Linked DNA regions of Arabidopsis thaliana. The protein of the gene in region 2 purifies or fractionates together with the protein of the main gene of each other region. This does not show direct contact. Each region holds a gene or a part of one and is shown on either strand. Other genes may lie near its edges. The genes, in order: CRT1b, PCNA2, AT1G32880 and BTF3.

The links.
Region 1: the proteins of PCNA2 (region 2) and CRT1b fractionate together in Arabidopsis thaliana (co-fractionation; one large-scale study listed by BioGRID). This does not show direct contact.
Region 3: the proteins of PCNA2 (region 2) and AT1G32880 fractionate together in Arabidopsis thaliana (co-fractionation; one large-scale study listed by BioGRID). This does not show direct contact.
Region 4: the proteins of PCNA2 (region 2) and BTF3 fractionate together in Arabidopsis thaliana (co-fractionation; one large-scale study listed by BioGRID). This does not show direct contact.

What each region holds. Positions count from the first base shown.
Region 1 is NC_003070.9:2,971,465-2,978,919, forward strand, and holds CRT1b (calreticulin 1b), read right to left. Parts: upstream 5,539-7,455; 5' UTR 5,192-5,538; coding exon 5,098-5,191; intron 4,493-5,097; coding exon 4,385-4,492; intron 4,291-4,384; coding exon 4,098-4,290; intron 4,001-4,097; coding exon 3,742-4,000; intron 3,569-3,741; coding exon 3,464-3,568; intron 3,378-3,463; coding exon 3,291-3,377; intron 3,209-3,290; coding exon 3,151-3,208; intron 2,644-3,150; coding exon 2,576-2,643; intron 2,491-2,575; coding exon 2,395-2,490; intron 2,302-2,394; coding exon 2,254-2,301; intron 2,093-2,253; coding exon 2,063-2,092; intron 1,979-2,062; coding exon 1,862-1,978; intron 1,765-1,861; coding exon 1,753-1,764; 3' UTR 1,174-1,752; downstream 1-1,173. Other genes in the region: AT1G09200 (Histone superfamily protein), read right to left, coding at 258-668; AT1G09220 (Pentatricopeptide repeat (PPR) superfamily protein), read right to left, coding at 6,488-7,455. UniProt on the Arabidopsis thaliana protein: Molecular calcium-binding chaperone promoting folding, oligomeric assembly and quality control in the ER via the calreticulin/calnexin cycle.
Region 2 is NC_003071.7:12,649,155-12,654,203, forward strand, and holds PCNA2 (proliferating cell nuclear antigen 2), read right to left. Parts: upstream 2,600-5,049; 5' UTR 2,445-2,599; coding exon 2,126-2,444; intron 1,638-2,125; coding exon 1,485-1,637; intron 1,402-1,484; coding exon 1,304-1,401; intron 1,210-1,303; coding exon 985-1,209; 3' UTR 752-984; downstream 1-751. Other genes in the region: ENOC (cytosolic enolase), read left to right, coding at 1-113, 469-540; MAC5B (CCCH-type zinc fingerfamily protein with RNA-binding domain-containing protein), read left to right, coding at 2,857-2,961, 3,357-3,626, 3,747-3,970, 4,152-5,004. UniProt on the Arabidopsis thaliana protein: This protein is an auxiliary protein of DNA polymerase delta and is involved in the control of eukaryotic DNA replication by increasing the polymerase's processibility during elongation of the leading strand. May be involved in UV resistance.
Region 3 is NC_003070.9:11,912,956-11,916,835, forward strand, and holds AT1G32880 (ARM repeat superfamily protein), read right to left. Parts: upstream 1,781-3,880; coding exon 1,655-1,780; intron 1,497-1,654; coding exon 1,369-1,496; intron 1,271-1,368; coding exon 973-1,270; downstream 1-972. Other genes in the region: NAC13 (NAC domain protein 13), read left to right, coding at 1-208, 328-737.
Region 4 is NC_003070.9:6,151,654-6,156,683, forward strand, and holds BTF3 (basic transcription factor 3), read right to left. Parts: upstream 2,330-5,030; 5' UTR 2,213-2,329; intron 1,773-2,212; coding exon 1,705-1,772; intron 1,616-1,704; coding exon 1,467-1,615; intron 1,378-1,466; coding exon 1,321-1,377; intron 1,228-1,320; coding exon 1,189-1,227; intron 1,104-1,188; coding exon 919-1,103; 3' UTR 731-918; downstream 1-730. Other genes in the region: EGY3 (ethylene-dependent gravitropism-deficient and yellow-green-like 3), read right to left, coding at 1-532; GER2 (NAD(P)-binding Rossmann-fold superfamily protein), read right to left, coding at 2,825-3,789, 3,922-3,943.

The DNA.
Region 1 (7,455 bases), on a different chromosome or scaffold from region 2:
CGAATCACAACTAATTAACAATGATCTTCACAACAATTTCAGCGTCAAAGCTGATTAATTTGTGAGACTATAATGAGTTGTGAACTAGCACAAATTAACCAAACAATTAGTGATTAATAAAGTCAACTAAAAAGTCAATACTTTGATAGAACAAAAGATAATTGCTTGGAATTAATATTATAACCCTTGGATTTAACTTGAAATTTTACAATCTTATGGTTCTAATCAAAACACAAGAGTAACCAGAATACTTAGATCTAAGCTCGTTCTCCTCTGATTCTTCTCGCGAGCTGGATGTCCTTGGGCATGATCGTGACCCTCTTGGCGTGAATGGCGCAGAGATTGGTGTCTTCGAAGAGTCCGACGAGGTAAGCTTCAGCAGCTTCCTGAAGAGCGGCGACGGCACTGCTCTGGAAACGAAGATCGGTTTTGAAGTCCTGAGCGATCTCTCTGACAAGCCTCTGGAAAGGGAGTTTACGGATAAGAAGCTCAGTGCTCTTCTGGTACTTCCTGATTTCTCTTAAAGCAACAGTTCCGGGTCTGAATCTGTGTGGCTTCTTCACTCCTCCGGTGGCCGGAGCAGATTTCCTCGCCGCTTTTGTCGCCAGCTGCTTCCTTGGAGCCTTTCCTCCGGTTGATTTCCTAGCCGTCTGCTTGGTACGAGCCATGAAGTAAAATGTTATTAAGAAACTGTTTGATTTTAATTTGAAGATGAGAGAAAGTTGAGATCTGGATAGTTTGTTTCGATTGAGGAAGGGGATATTTATCGTCTGGAAATTACAAGAAGTGGGAGGGAAAATATTTCGCTTTTCTTTTTCAGCGGGATTAGATCTGGATCGTTCATTGGTTTTTAATCAACGGATATAAGAGGTTTCTATCACGATCCGCGTGAAATCACAGCAACCGTAGATTAATACAATTCTACGGACAGATTTCATTCTTTTCTAACACTGATCCGCGTGAAGGTACGAAGACCAATAGAAATAAAAGAAATAATCTAAATATATTATCTTTACCAAAAAACCAAGCCCATTACTTAATAGGGCCTGCGTAATTGTTTTTCTTTTTTTGGTTCTCAATCAGCTTTTTCTGGGCTTAAATACCATCTCAATATGCTAGGACGCTGTTTTGTATAAAGATTGTGACTTCATCTTTTGAGAATGACATCATGAATTAAAATATTGCTGTCTAAGGTTAAGGTAAAACAAAGATTGCACTGCATTCGTTCTCTAGCGTTCTAAGCATCTGTGGTTGGGGTACAATTATCTCTATATAATTTTTGTTATCTCAACATCTGTCTTCACAATGGAAGTGAACCCAGTATAAGTGTATAGACAATGTGGAAATTGTTTGGAAAGTGAAAGACATTCTACATTACTACTACTCTAGTATCAATCAACTTGCAGGGACGTTGGACTGTTGGATTATGGACTTGGTGGTCTGTATTGACTGACAAGAGACTAACAACAAATTCTCAAAGGGTGGGGAGCAGTGAACGAATACACCAGAATCCGATTTTGGCGGACATTGGCTTAGCAGAGAAACAAGAGTAGAGAAAGAGAAGCAACTGCAAAACTTCTTCATGGTTTTTTAAAGTCTAAAATGAGCATCTGACAGACATTGTATCCCCCTTTTAGTTTTGCTAAAACTTGTTTCTATCTCCGACAAACTAGATGCTAAAATACTTCAAAAGAAAACGATAAAACAATAAAGAGACTGAAAACTTTGGTCTTCAAATCTTCAACCTTTCACCTATAGCTCATCCTGCAAAACCAAATCACGCAGTTTTAACCACAACTCAAGGAAAACAACAAAATTATGGATGAGTGAAATTTCTCCAAGTGATATTGTGGTAGCATACATGAGCGGTGGCGTCTTTCTCAGAGGTTTCCTCGCTATCTACTGATTTGGTCTCCTCGGCCTTAGATTCAGAATCGGAATCATCTCCTCCTTCATCATCCTCTGGTTCGTCTTCAGCCTGGAATTTATATCACATATAATATTAGGACCTTGACAGAAACAAACAAGACTCTAAAAAATTTGATCCTTCACAAGTGCTTACATCAGATTCCGCAGGTGCGTCCTTGGATTCCTGTATCAACACAGAAAAAGGAGAATGCCGTCTTAGATTATCTATTCCCAACTTGGTTACAACAATTACATAATTGGCAGTAGAAACTCCACAAAAGTCCAAACTACTTGTTTTAGAGAGATTCAAATGAATTAAGCTAAATAATTAGGAGAGATATTTACCTCTTCCTCATTCTTCTTCTCAGCCTCATCGAAAGCTGCTTTCTCCGCCTGCAATGTGATATTAGATTGGATATTCTGATCAGTAACCAGAAACAAAAAAAAAAAAACTGTGTTATGAAATTGGGTATTTTAAACACCTACATCCTTGAGCTTTCCCCATGTTTCATCTGCCAACTTCTTGGCATAGTCTGGGTCATCGCAGATCAAGACATTGTCGAACAATGATCCTGATTTCACCTGGAAGAGTAACATGTATTAGATGAGAGTCATGGGAATAAAGCATATCTTCGAAGGTCATTCAAAGTGACAAAGATTTATTTACCTGCCACAATTCGAGTCCAACATATTTCAGCTTGGGGAAGACGTAGAGCTCTGGGTCATCCTTGAAGTCTGCGGTAATCAGTTTATTTTAGGCACACTAATTGTTTATTATTATGTCTAAGAGAGCTAAATTTTCATGTAAGTTAATGCAAGCATAAAAAACAAAAAGTTGCGAGTTCTACAGTTACATCCAAATGAACATGATATAAAAGTGTAAATAAAGGTGAACAAAAGATATAGATTACTAAATGTGTCAAACTGGTGTGACCATGGATTTAATGATAGAGAAGATAAAAGAAAAACCAGGTTAGTTACAAACATGTTTCTATTTAATAGGTTAAACCACTAAACATAGAGACGCCAATAAACCTTTTGGAAGTAAAGGATTACTTCAGCATTTGAGTTTAAATGAACCCTTAGGCCTTAGACTTAGATAGTCCTTCTACTTAGTCAAGAGAAATCTAACTGGAGAAGATTTAGGCATACCAGAAACGACCATCAAACAACAAAGAACAGAAGTTGAACCACAAATTACATGCAACATGGATAATATGGCCACAGAGAGTAGTAATGTACCAGGGTTGTCAATCAATGGAGCCTCCCACTTGCCCTTGTAGTTGGGGTTCTTGATTTGCTACAAAAATATTTGACAGCCTTGAGAGGAAGAAAAACGTTGACCAGGATATAGATACTTTTTGGAATAGAAATTGACAAACCTTAGGCTTCCATTCACCCATGTACTCAGGGTTGGGGATTGTTGGGGCAGTCCACTCACCATCTTCTTCATCATCCCAGTCCTCAGGCTAAGAGAAAGGACAACGAAAAATCAGCAAATACGGAACACAGCAAGAGATTTTAGATTTTACATCAATTATAGACAAGTATGAACCTTCTTTGAGTCGGTGTCTGGGATCTCCTTAGGGATATCATCGTAACCGTCAGGTTTCTTGTCTTCAGGGTCAGAAATGTATTCTTGTTCGTCCCAGTCCTCAGGCTGTACAAATAAATAAAAGGATCAATTTGTATGATGGATGGTATCTCAGGTATAATCAACCAAGTTCATCAGAGAGCTTTGGTATGGTTTGTGGTTAGTTCTAGTTTGCTCCAAAATTGAGTATAAGTGGTTGGTTCTCAGTTTAGCCTGGTTGTTCATAAGAAATAGAATACCTTCTTGGCGCTGGGGTCCTTGATCTTCTTGGGTGGGAGAAGATCCCAGTCAGAGTAAAGGCTACCAGTTTGTTTCTCAACATTGTCGATGAGAATGCTGTAAGTAGCATCTGGGCGGAGGATAAATGTGTACACATGGGTGAGCTGGTCAGTTTCACATGGAACATCTTTCTTGATCAGGTGGTTGGCTTCATTATAGGTAAGGATAGCATGCACTTTCTTTGTGCTGTAGCCACAGATATCAGGACCAAACATGATACTGCAGGTAAAAAAGCAGATGGGTTGTTATTTTTAAACATTGATGTTAATTGATAATAGGTTGAGATGATAAGAGTGAGATGAGATAGGATTTGTACCTGTATGGTGTGTCTCCACCAAATTTCTTTTGGTCAACATCACCACTTAGTAGCTTCATGTAGCCACCACCGCAGTCAAGCTTTTGCTCGTGCTTGACTGAGAATTGGAAGACTAAGGTCTTGTCCTTGTTACTGAATTCAGGGAACTCAGCTGAAATGGCGTAGAATCTGTAGTCTTCACTGGTCTGGATACCTGCCAGACAATGGCAATTGCAACAACGCATTAGCACAAGCTTGTAAAACAATAAATAATGATTCTGTGATTAGCTCTGAAGGCTGAATCATACCTTTATCGTTAGCGTCACCAGACCAATTTCCCGCAGTGTGCTTCCACTCCCCAGCAGTGTTATCATCCTTCTTCCACTCAGATTTAACCCATCTGTTCTCCCAGCCATCTTTAGAAATGGAAATAACAAAGATAACAAATCAAGACAGACATCAGACAAGAAGAATCACAAGATTATATACTAAGTTAAGAACAACAAGACAATCCAACACAAGAAACACGAATTGAACAAACCATATAATATTTTTTAGTATTTCAAATCAGAAAAGTCGACTAAACAAACTCAAGAGCGGGCTTCACTGAACATATTCATCATTGAAATTAGTAAACTAGTGTCGAACCAGAAAGGAATCATATGCTAACTATCATCTCAGAATTTTCATCATCGTTAAAAACTTGATCTCCCAAACATCTACACGAAAAGTATTAATCACCAAAAGTTGGAGGTCATTTCCTGGGATCTCCAATTATAATTTAGAAATCAAAAACCCCAGACAAACCAAAATCAACAAATTCATAGATCCATAATAATCCTGATCCAACATTTGAGAACAAACTATCAGATGAAAACGAGGATATCGTAGCATGGATCTTAAACTCGTAGCATAAATCACATTAAAACTCAAATTGAAGAAATAGATCGCAAGCCAGAACACAAACAGACGCATCATCAGGAAGATAGAGTATAGAGATAGAGATGTAGAAATTAGATACCATCAAAGCGCTCCTCGAAAATAACTGCGGCGGAGGCGATCGCAACAAGACCGATAAGAATTAGAGAGACGAGGCTAGGAATCATTTTCGCCATTGCTAAAAAAAACTCAGATCGGAGCTTCCCCGAGATCAGATGATGAAGATGTACAAGACCTGGAGCTTATATATACCGCGAGGAGAGGAGCTAGCAAGTGAGCTTTGCTCTCATGGATTTTATTTTAGGCTACGTCGTGTAAATCTGCAGCCACGTAATCCAATAGGTAACCGACACGTCAGATACATTTGTCATTGAGAATGACATGTCGTTATAGTATTGGATAAAACGGGAGAAAGAAGGCTGTGCATAATTAGCCTTAAGCAAAAGATTTGACACGTGTAAAGATATTAGCGGTTGGTGCGGTGATATAAACAAAAAACAAGTGTGCTTCTCGTGGAGAGTAGAGTAAACAAAAGAAGCAGATCTCTCGGGTGTTTTAGTAAATATATAGCTTGGTTTGTTGGATTAAACGTGATCTCAGCCGTTAGATTCCAACTGAATTTTTAAATCTACAAAAATTCTAAAAGCGTGGGCCGAGAGGAAGATTGATGTGTGTATTTTGGGCCGATAAAATTTTAAATTATAAATCTTTTTGTGTTGATGGTTTTTTTGTGTGAAGAAGATTAGCGTAAAAGCTACTCAAAATCTGACTTGGATTCAAATTTGATAATGACACCCATTGAAGCAAAGTTTTTTCAAAAAATGAACTATTTTTATGCATGTTCTTGTTACTCATTGATCCATTTAGTCTTTTTTAATCTCTTTGAATGATTTGAGCTCCATTGTATTTTACACATCTTTGTCACTGTAATCTCAGCTAACTGAGACTTCATTAGAGAGCTCACCAAACTTTAGGAGTTTATGATCAAAACTCATTGAAGATTGGGAGTTTAGGATTTAGGGTTTAGGAAAAGGGGATGCAAGAAACAGATCATCCTCACAGATTCGGTGCTGACCCATCTTCAGGAGAATCCAAGCGCAGCACAGAAACACATGCAACCCCCAGTGGTCTATGAACAAGATTTCATAAGCTTGGGTCTTCAGAAGAGGAATCATCAAAAACCCTTGTTGCAGATTCTCATCGCTTTTTCTTTTATTATCTATCAAACTTGCACCCAGCAATGCTCTCATGTTTTCCTTTTTTCTTGTGAAGTTATTATGACAATGAATTATGAACTTGGTCTTCTTGATTAGGTTTGCGTTTCTTTATAATCCAATAAAACCATTCAGAATAGAAAACACCTTTTGGGAGTTTATGATCAAAACATTGAGGATCAGAACAGAGCTCCCAAAAATTCTGAAGTTTATCATCAAAACAATAAAGATTGGAGTCATAAATATATACATGCTCCGCTATGTTACTTGTGAATGTCCTGGAAGTTTAGCTACTCCTCTAACATCCATCTGTTTCCGAAATCTCTGCGCATCTAAAAATCTTCCAGTACCACAAAAGATGTTGGACATAAGCACATAGTCTCCTCCATGGCTTCTCTCTAGCTCCATTAGCTTTCTAGTAACCCTCTCAGCCAATTCAGCATCATCATAAACGCTACAAGCTCCAAGCAGCATTCTCCAAACCACAGCTTTTTCTTCTATTGGAATCTCCAAAGCAATCTTCTCTGCTTCTTCTAATCTTCCTTTTCTTCTCAACATATCTACTAGACATCCATAGTGCTTCACATCCGGCGTGATCTTGTACTCGTTTACCATCGTGTTGAAAAACTCTAGAAACTCTTCTTCTGCTAAACCTCCATGGCTGCAAGCGTTCAAAACACTGATCATGGTCACTCTGTTCGGCTTCAATCCTAATCTTTCCATGTCTTTAAACATACTGACCGCTTCTTTTCCCATTCCGTGAATTGCAAACGCCGAGATCATCGTTGTCCACGATACAAGATTCTTCCTTCCGTTTGGAATCTCTATGAAAAACTTGAACGCGCTTTGAATACACCCACATTTTGCATAAGCGTCGATGAGAGAGTTAGTCACACGGATATCACATGGAACAAACCCTCTTTTCCCAACATAAGCATGAACTGATCCGCACATCTTTAAGTCTCCCAAGTTCCAAACAGCTGGGAGAATGGCGAGAATGGTTATCTCGTTGGGCTTTATTGCGTCGCAAGCAACCATTCTTGAAAACAAGAGTATAGCTTCCTTGGGTTTATCTACTCGTGCATACCCATCAATGATAGTGGTCCAAGACACTACCGTCCGATTCGGCATCTTCTCCAAAAAGCAAAGAGCTTTTTCGAAATCTCCCAAATTAGTAAGGCCAGTGATCATCACATTCCAAGTTACCGGATTTCTCTCAGGCATTT
Region 2 (5,049 bases):
GATGTGGAGAAACAGAGGACTCTTTCATCTCTGACTTATCTGTGGGTCTCGCAACAGGTGTGATTAAAGCTGGTGCTCCTTGCAGAGGAGAACGTACTATGAAGTATAACCAGGTCTGGATCTTTTTCCAAACTAATATCCTCAGTACCCCTTATGCAATTACACTAGAACAATCTACATTACGTGGAGTAACCTGCATTGGAATTTTGGATCATAGCTCTTTCATCAGATTATCATCAGCTTCTTTTTAGCTTTTAAGTAGCTGAGTTATGTTGTGGTATGTGAATCTTTAGCAACCTAGGCTAAGTTTCAGTTTCTTCAACTTTTGGCTAATGCAGCCTCAGCTTATAGATCCATAATGATTGAGTTTGGAGCAGCCATGTACATTTAGTTGCTAGATAGTGTTCTCATTTCATTGTAGAAACTACTTTATTAAAAAGCTGAATCACTGTTGAAATGTTCCTGCAGTTGCTACGGATAGAGGAAGAGCTTGGGGATCAAGCAGTGTATGCTGGAGAAGATTGGAAGCTATCTCTCTAAACAAAATGCACATGTGATATTAATTGTTACACTTCTCGTCTTACTTCATTGTTCTCGAGTCTATTTCTCACGCAGACAAATTCTTGTGTCTTGAAAGTTCAAATTTTTTGTTGTTTTTGCCAAATTTAAGAACAAACAGAAGTAAAGAGTGTTAAACATGTTTTTTACAAATTGTAAAAGCATCCAAAAACATCAATCAACACTAGTTCGTGAGGTTGCAGAAGCCACAAACAAACGTGTTTTAGGGCTTCGTGTCTTCTTTTTCTTCAATGTTTAACAAACAGATGAAAAGTGTTATAAACAAGCTTTTCCAAATTTCAGAAAGACAAACATCATACGATTATCTAGTTTAGCATTGCCTTAAGATAGTAAATCCAGAAAACAACTGAATCAAGACAGACATTTCAACAAAGGACTCGAACGAAGACTATCAAACATTCATCATTATTCTGGTTTGGTGTCTTCTTCTTCTTCAATCTTAGGCGCCAGATAGTATCGAATGTAACCCATCTCAGCCACCTTGTACTCCACCACGACCGGTAACTCAGAGGACAAACTGATGGTCACAGTTTCCGACAATGGAGTAGCCTTTGTGAAGGAGTTCATGTACCTCAATGCAAATGAAAGCGAAACAGGCTCGTTCATCTCTATCACAATAGCATCTTCAGGCTGCAAAACACACATACAAACATAAGGTCACTTCAACATTGTATTGGACAGATTATTAAACAAATCTCTCTAGATGACTAGTGATTGTTCATACTTTGTCGACGGTAGTATTCTGCCTGAGCACAATGTTTGCTGTCCCGATATCACCTGCTGTTGAAAACTTCACCCCTTCTTTTGTTACCGAGATCACAACTGCAAAATCATAACATCAAAACCAGAATCATGATTAGAGAATCCTCGCAGTGATACACCAAATAAACAAACAGTTCATTTACCTGTGTCACCAATGCTACTGAGATCTTTGCATATCCTGGAAAATTCACCAGAAGGCATTCTCACAATCGAGTGGTACTCAGCATCAGGAATTCCTAAATGCTCACTGTCGATATCCATCAGCTTCATCTCAAAATCTGCAATCTTGTCTTGTGCTGCATCATCAACACCATTTAAATAATGAGATTAACACCACATAGTCAATATCAAACAAAGTTCCTCTGTTAACTTTCACTAAATCAAGAAACTCTATTCACTTTCAAACTATAGTCTTTAAGCTAGAGACTATACCTATTCTGAAAACAAAAATGGAAGGACTCATTCTCATCAAGCAAGTTCTAGTTTCTGTCAAATGAAACCTATAAATAACAGTTCAGATCACTAATAACATCATTAACTACACAAAAACAAAGCCATATCAAACCTTATTCCAAACCAAAAACCCTCTATTAACATAGATTTTATCTTCTCTTTCATCTCTTACAAACTAAAGCTTTCAAGAAATGGACTGAATCATTCTCTACAATCATATTCTAGCTTCTGGCAAATCAAACCTATAAACACAGAATCAGGTCACCAATAGCATCAACATTGACAACAAAACCAAAGCCCTAACAAACAAAAATCGATTTGAAGAACTTACTGGGACTCTCAAACATGAAAGTAACAGTGTCGCTACCATCATCAGCTTTGATGGTGATGATATCATCATTTCCAGCACATTTCAGCATCTTAGACATATTACCAAGATTCATTCCCATAGAGAGGTTCCTATCGCATCTATAGTGCTCGAAACCTTCAGATCTAAGCAAAAGAGACACCAACGCGACATGGCTCGAATCCATAGCTTGAAGCGAGAACCCTGTGGTCGAACAGTCGAAGTTCGCATCGTTCACCAGATCTTTGACCGCTTCTAGAACCTTCTTCAGTAGAGAACCTTGAACTAAACGAAGCTCCAACATCTTCTGGGAAATTATCGAAAGGTTAGAGTGTGAATCGAAACGGTTAGGGTTTTTAGAGCTGTTGAAATTTCTGGGAGGAGATTGCAATTGTTAGCGGGAAGTGATATTATAAGCTGAGATTTTGTGGCGCCATTTAGCGATTTTAGGGTATTTTTGTTCCCGCCTGTGTGTGACGATGAATTATCATCTGTGTGAGTCCGTATTGTTTATTTCAGTACACCACCATCACTTTAAGCTTTCTTATTTCATGGGTTTAAATTGGGCCAAACAAACATTCGGCCCAACAGCAGCTGTAATATTAAAGATTCCCGAAAAAATCGAAACGAGAGCAAATCTGCTCTTCAAGGTAATCTTCGTGTTCGAGACTGAAGAAGAAATCCAGAAATCATTGAGGAAGGAAGAGAATTAGGAAATGGCGCATAGAATACTGAGAGATCACGAGGCTGATGGATGGGAACGTTCTGATTTCCCAATCATCTGTGAGTCTTGTCTCGGTGACAATCCTTACGTGAGAATGGTATATTCTTCGCTTCCTATGTTTCTCCTCAAACAAATTCGATTTCCTTGCCTTTAGCTAGATTTTTTTTTAACATTCATGTGTCTTTATTAAGATCTCCTTTCATTTGTCCATTTTCGAGCTTGTTTAATGCTTTTATGTTTCTTAGTGTTGAAGCTGCAATTTTAGTGATTTGAGATTTTAGGGTTTAAGCGATTTAATATACAATTCATAACCTTTGGTAAAAATCAGAATTCATGGAGTTGTAGTTCAAAATGATATCTTTGGTTTGTTCTGATCAAATTTGCTTAGAGGGAATGTAATTCATTGAATACTGTCTCATGTTATGTCTGGTAGTGATGTGCAGCTTCATGTTTGATTGATTGATTGATTTATTGTTGTTGTTTGGTATGTAGACAAAGGCGAATTACGATAAAGAGTGTAAGATCTGTACCCGGCCTTTCACGGTTTTCAGATGGCGACCTGGTAGGGATGCGAGATACAAGAAGACTGAAGTTTGTCAGACATGTTGCAAGTTGAAGAATGTGTGCCAAGTTTGTCTCTTGGATCTTGAGTATGGTCTTCCAGTTCAGGTCAGAGACACGGCGCTCAACATTAGTACTCATGATTCTATCCCAAAAAGTGATGTGAACCGAGAGTTTTTCGCTGAAGAGCATGATCGAAAGGTATGGTGACTCTGCGTTCTAACTAGTTATATTATTTGAGTATTGATTGGTTTGAGATTTGGCTATACAGTTTCTCTACTTTGTAATGGCCTATTGAAATGGTTTTGTTTTCTTGTGTAGACGAGAGCTGGACTAGATTATGAGTCTTCTTTTGGGAAGATTCGGCCCAACGATACCATTCGTATGCTTCAAAGGACAACGCCTTACTACAAAAGGAACCGAGCTCATATTTGTAGTTTCTTCATTAGGGGAGAGTGTACAAGAGGTGATGAGTGTCCATACCGTCATGAGATGCCTGAAACAGGAGAGTTATCCCAGCAGAACATTAAAGACCGTTATTATGGGTAAGCATACTTCTAACTTTCATTTTGTTTGAGTATGATAATATTGAGTTACTCCTCAATTTCTTGCTTTGGTATATCATGAAAGAGAGTTATGAAAAATACATCAGTTTGTGTGCGTAAACTGGCTGTTATTTTGGTGATATTGGAACTGTTTTCTCATCTTATTCTTCACTTCCTGCAGTGTAAACGATCCAGTTGCGTTGAAGTTACTTGGCAAGGCTGGGGAGATGGGTACTTTGGAATCTCCAGAGGATCAAAGCATCAGAACGCTTTATGTTGGTGGGCTAAACTCGAGAGTCCTTGAGCAAGACATTCGTGATCAATTCTACGCCCATGGAGAAATCGAATCCATCAGAATCTTGGCTGAGAAAGCATGTGCGTTTGTCACTTACACAACCCGAGAAGGAGCAGAGAAAGCTGCAGAAGAGCTCAGTAACAGGCTAGTTGTCAACGGTCAGAGGCTAAAACTCACATGGGGAAGACCTCAGGTTCCCAAACCTGATCAAGATGGTTCTAACCAACAGGGCAGTGTGGCTCATAGTGGTTTACTACCTCGAGCAGTTATATCTCAGCAACAGAATCAACCTCCACCAATGCTACAATACTATATGCACCCACCACCACCACAACCTCCTCATCAAGACAGACCATTTTACCCATCAATGGACCCTCAGAGAATGGGTGCAGTTAGTTCGTCCAAAGAAAGCGGTTCAAGCACCAGTGACAACAGAGGAGCTTCTTCTTCTTCTTACACTATGCCACCACATGGCCACTATCCTCAGCACCAGCCATACCCGCCACCATCATATGGAGGATATATGCAACCACCTTACCAGCAGTATCCTCCTTACCACCATGGCCATTCACAACAAGCTGATCATGATTACCCACAACAACCAGGTCCCGGTTCAAGGCCTAATCCTCCACATCCAAGTTCAGTCTCTGCTCCACCACCTGACTCTGTGTCTGCAGCACCTTCAGGATCCTCTCAGCAATCTGCTGATGCTGCTGTTACTACTGGTTCGTCTCAATAGGAACCGTTGTCAGTTAAAATGTAGTGCGAATTTCCGGCCATATCT
Region 3 (3,880 bases), on a different chromosome or scaffold from region 2:
TTTGCACAAAGTCTTCAGGTGAATACTTCTTTAATGACTTACCAGGCCAATAATAACCAGTTCCAGCAGCAATCAGGGAAGAACCAAGCTAGTAACTGGCCACTCCGTAACAGCTATACCAGACAGATAAACAATGGATCATCGTGGGTGCAGGAGCTAAACAATGACGGACTTACCGTTACCCGGTTTGGTGAGGCGCCTGGTACAGGTACTTGAAAGCACTAACAGATTTTCCTGTAGATACCTCTTTTCACTCGCATACTAAATATTCTATCTAATTGTGAGGAAAGCGACTGGCTTCTTATCCTAATCATATTCCCTTGACAGGTGATTCATCTGAATTCCTAAACCCTGTTCCTTCTGGTATAAGTACAACTAATGAAGATGACCCGTCAAAAGACGAGTCTAGTAAGTTTGCTTCTAGTGTATGGACTTTCCTGGAATCCATTCCTGCAAAGCCAGCATATGCATCAGAGAATCCATTTGTGAAGCTGAACCTTGTTAGAATGTCAACCAGTGGTGGTCGTTTCAGGTTTACTTCTAAAAGCACAGGTAATAATGTTGTTGTTATGGATAGTGACTCAGCAGTGAAGAGGAACAAGTCTGGAGGAAACAACGATAAGAAGAAGAAGAAGAACAAAGGTTTCTTTTGCTTATCGATCATTGGGGCTTTATGTGCTTTGTTTTGGGTGATCATAGGAACAATGGGAGGTTCAGGGAGGCCTTTGTTATGGTGAGAACCGAAAAATCCAAGAGGTTAAGAGACATAAAGGCTTGGTTTTGTGTGAACCATTAGAGAGTCAAGTCATTGTAATTATTCTCTTGGATTATTAGATTCAGAAGCTGTTTAGTATCACAGTTTATGCTTGGAAGTTTTCTCTGGTATTGTTAAAAAAGTACCAATAGAAATAAGCAAAAGAATTTTCTTATCTTTTAGGATATTTGAACAAATGATGTTACTTAACTAGATTATTAACTTGGAGGTTGTTGTATATCCTCATCATCCTCTTCAAGCCAGTAAGTCTGCAGAATCTTCAAAGCCTTGTCGTAGATCTCGATGTTTTCGTGTCTTTGCAGGTTCAAAATCTTATCTAGCCCTTCCGCTTCGATCAGTCGAGTATACCAGCTCACGTCGTCTCCTGCGTTCTTTTCAGCCTCTCCAACCTTCAATGTGTTTTCCATTCCATCCAGACACTTTAAGATGGTTTTTACATCTGGACAAAACAGGATATCACATAAAGGTTTGATGCAGCTCTGCTCCACCATGTATCTGAATCACACCAATAAATGGAGATTGTGACTTTGATGATCATCTATAAGCATGTTAAGTTGAAAGTGCAAAAAGAAAGAAATAAGACAGGGACGTACTTGATTTGATCATGAGAACCAAGTAAGGTCGCATTTGAAATTGCGCATACAGATTCTTTCTTCATGTCAAATTCAGCATTCTGAGTCAGTTTGACCAAGGTTGGAATCAAATTTGCATCGATTACTGACTGTTATCACCAGGGGAAAACAGTTTAGTTTAGTGAGATAGCAAATAGACAAATTGTTTTATGTTGTGCACCTGAATCATTGTATATATATCAGAATCAAAGATTACACTGATCATCAATAAAAACATCAACTTGATGGGGGAAATTTTTCTTCTAACTTGAAGCTTAGGGAAACTTTCATCGAGAAGAAACTGAATGAGACGATGTACAGCTCCAGATCGTATCACTGTTTCGATAGGACCACGCATATCTTCTGCACATGTAATATAAGAAACATTACGCATATCTTCTGCACATGTAATATAAGAAACATTCGAGTGAATGAAGAATCTTTCAAATCGATCAAGAAAAAGAGTAAAAGAGAGATTTGATTTACTCTTCTTTTTTTTTTGAAAAAATGTTAAATTATATTCAAAAAAAAACAAAACGTTTTTACAACTCGTGCAACGTTTAGCAAAATGAGAAAAGCTGAGAAAAAAAATAGTTAGAAATTAAAGGTGTTTAGAGAATGTTTAGAGTGAGCTGTACGTTGCCCTTGTCATATCTTCGATCACCTGCTTATCTATCCAAGTTATCAAGTGTGACGTGGTGTTCGGTGTTTCTCCATGACGACGCCCATTCCTCTCTCTCCAAACTGTGTGTATTGTAGCTTGAAAGACATACCGGATTAAGAAACCATCGACTCGCTGTAATGACTTGTCTGAAACATAGGCCAGAATTTGTGGCCATTCCTTTGTGAATCTGGTCTTCCATAGCTTCTTAGCTACGTCACCCCAAATTGTCGAGACATAGTTGCAGGAGAAAAACAAATGATCACGAGTTTCCATAGTGTTAGTACAAAACACACAGAGACCCGATTCTCCTCTGTTCCATTTAACCATATGCTCCCCTGTTGAGAGCCTATCTTGGACCGCGAGCCAAGTACAAAACGAAAACTTTGGTGTGGCGTGATTGAACCAACCCCCGTTGTACCAGGGGACTGTGGGAGAAGGAGCTCTGATATGGTGCCACGTTTCTTTGGTAGAGAATGATGCATTGTACACATTATTTCGCCTTGTCTCTGTACTTTAGTATTTTTCTCCAAATCCAAGAGCCTGCATTTGTATTCTGCTTCAATGTCCAAAAATGCTTCCTCCTAAGAAGGTATGTGGTGACCCATTGAACCCATAAAGACTTGCTATTAGAAATGATTCGCCAGACCAACTTTAAACAACAAACATCATTAGCTTTTGTCAAGCTTCGCAAACCCAAACCCCCCTCTATTTTCGGCTTACAAACTTTTTCCCACGATATCTTTGCCTTCTTTGAACTCAGTTCTAAACCCGACCATAGGTAAGCGGAGCAAATCTTGTCAATCTCTCGGATACACTGTCTCGGTAAACGAAAAGCGCCTAGCCAGAAATTGCAAATACTCCAGAGGATAGATTGAATCAAGTTGAGCTACCTGCATATGAGAGGTAGCGTGAAGTCCACGACGCGATGCGTTTCCTAATCTGCTCAAGAAGAGGATCATAATCCTCAGCCATGAGTCTCTTAGTAACAAGAGGCAAACCTAAGTATCGAACTGGCAATTGACCTATATCAAAAGGGAAAAGAGCTGCAATCTCTGCTTTCACTAAAGGTGATACTCCTGCCATATACATTGTCGACTTCTCCATACTTATTTTTAACCCAGAGTACTTATAAAACTCATCAAAAACCTTCACTATACCCTATATGGATCTAACCTTACCATCCGTTAGAACCATCAAATCATCTGCAAAACTTAGATGAGTGAGCTTTAAACGTTGACAATGAGGATGGAAACCAAACTTGTGAGCTCCGGCAGCCTTATCCAACATCTTTGAGAGGACATCCATGCTTATGACAAACAGATATGGCGAGAGAGAGCAACCCTGACGTAAACCCCTTGCACTTTGGAAATAACCAGCGAGATCGCCATTTACTTGGACTGAAAAAGAGGCCGTAGTAATACACAGTTTTAACCAATGTATAAAAACCGCAGGAAAATTCATAGCCAATAAAACATTCAGCAGAAAAGCCAATTGGACCGAGTCAAACGCCTTCGAGATATCTATTTTAATAGCACAACGGGTAGAGACTTAATCTTTATAATAGTCCTTGACTAGTTCCGTAGCAAGTAACAGATTTTCGATGAGTAATCTGTCTTTTACAAACGCCGACTGATTTCCCGCAACAAACTCTGGCAGAAGCACTTTCAATCTGTTAGCAATGATCTTAGAAATTACCTTATAGATTACGTTGCAGCATGAAATAGGTCTATAATCCTTCATTTCCTTAGCTTCTAGCTTCTTTGGAATCAGAGCTAAAATAGTTGAGTTTATTCCTTTTGGAAGGAAACCTTTTAGAAAAAAAGATTGAAC
Region 4 (5,030 bases), on a different chromosome or scaffold from region 2:
GAGCCTTGAAAGTCTCTTCTGCTTTCTCAAGCCTTTCTTTCTCTTTAGTCAAACTATCACGAGCCAAGCTGTTGTAAATTCCAATGATCGGATTCTCACTGTTGCTTTCCTTGTTCAGCTCCTTGAGCTTACGATCAGTTCTCGTCTTCTCAAGCTTTATCGCAGCTTCGATAGATGGATTCCCCATAAACTTCTTGAACTCCTCGTCTGTTTTCCAATCCATCTCTTGCTGCTTCGACTTCTTTTCCTCCTCTTCTTCACTGCTCTCTGGAGAAGGCGGCGCATTATTGTTATCGTGGTCTTCTTTTTGCTCCTCCGCTAACGCCACCGGAGAAGGAGCTTCGTTCACAGGTTCACGAACGCGATCATCTTCCGCTGAACATCTCAAAGAATGTCTGCTTCTCGTTGTCTGATTCACAGAAGCTTTCCCAAAGTTCGAAAATTCTGCTCTGTCAAAGCGACGAAGATGCAAACTGTGACAGGATTTAAGAGTTAAGGAAGATGATGGAGTAGAAACAAAGAGAGAAGCCATGGTTTACGAAAACTCAGAAAGATTGAGATTTGACGACGAATAGACATGTCTCTGAGAGAGAATTTGTAGAGAAAGTGATGAAATGTCTGGAAAGTTTGAGAAGAAACTCATACAGTACAGGTGGAATGGTTTTTATGCAACAAGACAATGTGTCACATCAAAATCTTCTAATCCACATAGTGAAGAGGAAGAAGAAGACGAGGACCTGATTTGCTGTCAAAGAATCAATAAGACATCAAATAATTGGATAAAAACCTTAAGTCATTAGATGGAAAACAAGATTCTGGTCGGAAACTACAAAAAGGATCGAGCGAACAAACATATTATAAAGATATGTAAAAATCAAAGTGCGGTTTTTTTTTGGATGTGGTCTCGCTCTTTTCTCTCTAAGAAGAAGCAGCAGCAGCTGGTGCTTTCTCTTCAGCAGCAGTTTCGAATGTCTCTCCAACAAGCTCTGGGACATCGTCATCATCCTCTTCTTGTATGGTTGCTGAGGCGGCATTACCTTCACCAGAAGCCTGTTTCTGGAACTGTTCTGCTAGCTTCTTCAGGTTGTCCATGTTGTCTGGTCCTGAAAGAGATCAAAGTAACATAAAGTTAGAGACCTTAGGATCGATGAAGAACATTTAAGAGCTGTACAGTTACATGGTACACACCAAGTTGGCTGATGATCTGAGGAAGGATATCTTGCAATTCTGCAGGAAGCAACACGTTTACATTAATCAGAGAAGATGAAATGAAGAAGAAACAAGAAAGTAGAGATTAAGAGATATTATGAGATGCAATACTTTTGGTCTGAGGAGAACCGCTAACAACCCATGTGTTTGCAGCAATTGAAGCTTGAACTGTAGTAACATTCAAAGGAGGAACAATGATCAGTAACATGAAAAAAAGGTTCTGATGTATAGATAAAAAATGGTTAAAAATGACTTACCCTTAGGGTTGATGAACTGAATAACAACATCATCCTTAAAGATGTTAACTTCTTCAATAGCGGGAATGGAGTTAACTCCAATTCTCTTAAGAGTGCTTTGAAGCCTCTTGTCATCAGTTGTATTGGTCTTGTGCACAGCCTTCTTCTTTCTGCAAGTAAAAATCGAATGGTTTCATAACACAAATCATAGTAAATGCTAAGTATTGAACAATGAAATTGGTTGAATAAAACTCTATACCTTCTGACAGTACCCTTTCCGCCAGTGCGGACGGTATTAGCCATCTTCATCAACTTCTCCCTATTCATCTGTGTATAAACCATAATAAGAAGCAAAATCCATCAATCCCCAAATCACTTCCAAAAGAATCAATGAACACATTAACTGCTAATAATACATTCACAAAAACTTCTTATTATACAAGAAACTAGTGAGAAGAAAGTAAGCGCGAACAGATTTAAACTCAGATGCGTATGAAGACACGGTGATGTGACTAGTAGTTTTAACCTAAATTTAATCATTTTCAATCGATTAGGTATACCAAATCCCCCAATCAAACACACAGAGAAGTTGAAAACCCAGTAAATTCCCAAACACCGACAAAAACTAATCCTATCTACAGAAAGAAGCGAAATGAATCAAGAAAGAAAGATATCTGACATTTTGCAAAATCGGGGATTAGAGAAACCCTAGAACCGGAGAGATAAAACACTAATAGAAAGGAAAATTACAGTGATAATGAATTTACCTTGAGATTAGGGTTCTTCCTTGTTCGAAGAGTGTGAGGAGATAAGAAAATGAAACAAAAAGAAAAGAAACAGAGAGAGGAGAGACGCGGGCGGCGCAGGGTTTTGCCCTTTAACTATATGCTATTCGGAGCCAACCTCGTCTCTTAATCTAACGGTGGATATCAGATATTCCATAAAGAAATCTCCATCACTACCGTTGGATGCTCGATGATAATATTGGCCCATAAGGCCCAAAACTAAACTGGGCCAATAATTATTTACTGGGCTCTTTTGTGCCGTAATCAATCACCAGTATTAGCGCGTAGCAAACCATAATCTTTTGGTTACCAGAATTTCAAAATCCACAAATTTATCTAAATGAGTTTATCAATGAACAGACTTGTTTAGTTGACTAAAATTTAGAGAAGAAAGCTATTCGATTATTGATAATCTCAACAACAATGGTACATTTATTACAAAGTAAGTTTGCTTAACTTGAACTGTATGAAATCCATGAATACAAAAATTACATAAAAGAGATAGAGAGATCTGTATAGAACCAAAAATCAAACGCATAAACATTCACGTGTAAAGAGAATGAATATTGCTTTGTGTTTTGGACCTTGTTTTTTTTACTGCTTCTTCTGCACAACATTTTCCAAATACCATTCATAAGTTTGGGAGAGGCCATCTTTAAGCGAAATCTTCGGTGTCCATCCCAAAGACGCAAGCTTCGAGCTATCCATCAGTTTCCTTGGTGTCCCGTCTGGTTTTGTGGTATCCCAAACAAGCTTTCCTTTAAACCCAACAACTTCTTTCACCAACTCAGCCAATTCTTTGATCGTCACTTCAACACCACTTCCTACATTCACATGCTCAAATCCGCTGTACTGATCCATCAAGAAAACACAAGCATCAGCCAAATCATCGACATGTAAAAACTCCCTCAACGGGCTTCCACTTCCCCAAACCACAACTTCGTCAGCATTATTGGCTTTGGCTTCATGAAACCTCCTCATGAGAGCAGGCAGCACATGGGAATTCTCCGGGTGGAAATTATCATTCTGACCATACAGATTCGTGGGCATACCGGAGATAGCATCCCACTGATGCTGAAGCCGGTAAGCTTGACACATCTTAATACCCGCGATCTTGGCGATCGCATACCATTCGTTTGTCGGTTCGAGCGGACCGGTAAGAAGCGCAGATTCGGGAATCGGCTGAGGAGCAAATTTGGGGTAAATGCAAGATGAACCAAGGAAGAGGAGTTTCTTCACACCGTGTGTATAAGCAGAGTGGATCACATTGGTCTGGATTTGGAGATTGACCCCAATGAAATCAGCTGGGTATGTGTTGTTAGCATGAATCCCACCGACTTTAGCAGCAGCTAGGATGACATAAACTGGTTTCTCTGTAGCAAAGAAAGATTCAACATCTGATTGGCTAGTGAGATCAAGCTCTGAATGGGTTCGAAGGACCAAATTGGTGAAACCCTGATCCTGGAGCTTGCGGACAATGGCAGATCCAACCAATCCCCTATGTCCAGCGACAAAGATCTTGGCGGATTTCTCTAACATAAACGAACCTGATTTCATCTCTGCACAGAATTACGAGGGATCAAAGACCTAGGGTTCCAAAATTTCCACGAAAATCTAAATTCAATTCCACAAAACTCCGTATATAGACATGAAACATTATATTCAGACATAAAATAGAGAGATGGACGTACCGGATCCTGTGTTGTCCGCCATTGTTTAGTCAATTAGTTCTACAAGACGATGAGCGATTGAGAATGGGGATTTTGACTTATAGATATCAGTTTTCGAAGTCAACGACAGAAGCTTAGATTTGTAGGTAAAGGTTAAATTCCTTGGAGAATGTAATGTGGAGGAGATCTGAATATCCGCCGGCGATCTGAATCGGTGTCGGATATTTTGTTATTCAGTTTATGGATCCTGGCCCATGGGCCTAAATAAAATAGTCACCTCACTCTCCGCCCATTTCGCTTACTTTTCCATCGTTACGTTATTGGCCTATTGCAATTAAACCGGACCAAATTCCGGTTCGCAGCTGTGAGTTACCAAATTAGCTCCATCAGCCAGGTGTCCGTACTCCGTACCATCCATAAGAAGAGTACGGATTCGAATAAAATATAAGCCTAGTGGTTTGGTGAAGACTGTGACAAACCTTTAGAAGACTCAAATAAACAAACATTAGCCTAGTGGAGCATTTTTGCGATAGAAGACGACACATTCTTTTTCATCATCGATGATTGGATGAGATGTGATTTTCAAACACAAGCAAGTAAGTGGTAGTTACAAATTATGCAGTGACCGACGACCGTGGATGCTGAAGTCCAAGGGATAAGGAAATATTATAATGGTCTTAGACCTCTTCGTTACACACAATTAGAAATGAAAAAATCAATTTATGTATAGAAAATGTCGCTCATAGAGACGTTTGGAGAAAGGAATTGGGCAAAGGAAAGAGGAGAACCACTAGGTTACAACTTAAAATAGTACTTAATCGCTACTCAAATATGATGAATATTTTTAAAAGAAATTTTCACATAAGTGTATGAAAAAAAAATTACTCTCATGGTTTGTCAAAGTGAGATATGGTTTTCACCGTTTGTCTTTTCAATTGTTTTCAAATCAAAATATTCTTAATGGGAGCAACCAAACCACACAACACTTGATTTCGGTTTAGTTTCTGTGGTTCAGTTTTGAGAAAAAAAAAAAAAAAAACTGAAACAAAGAAATCGAAGAAGAAGAAAAAGAGAAAGAGACGGAGAAATTCGAGAGAGAAGTAGAAAGAAGTTCAAAATTCATTATCCAC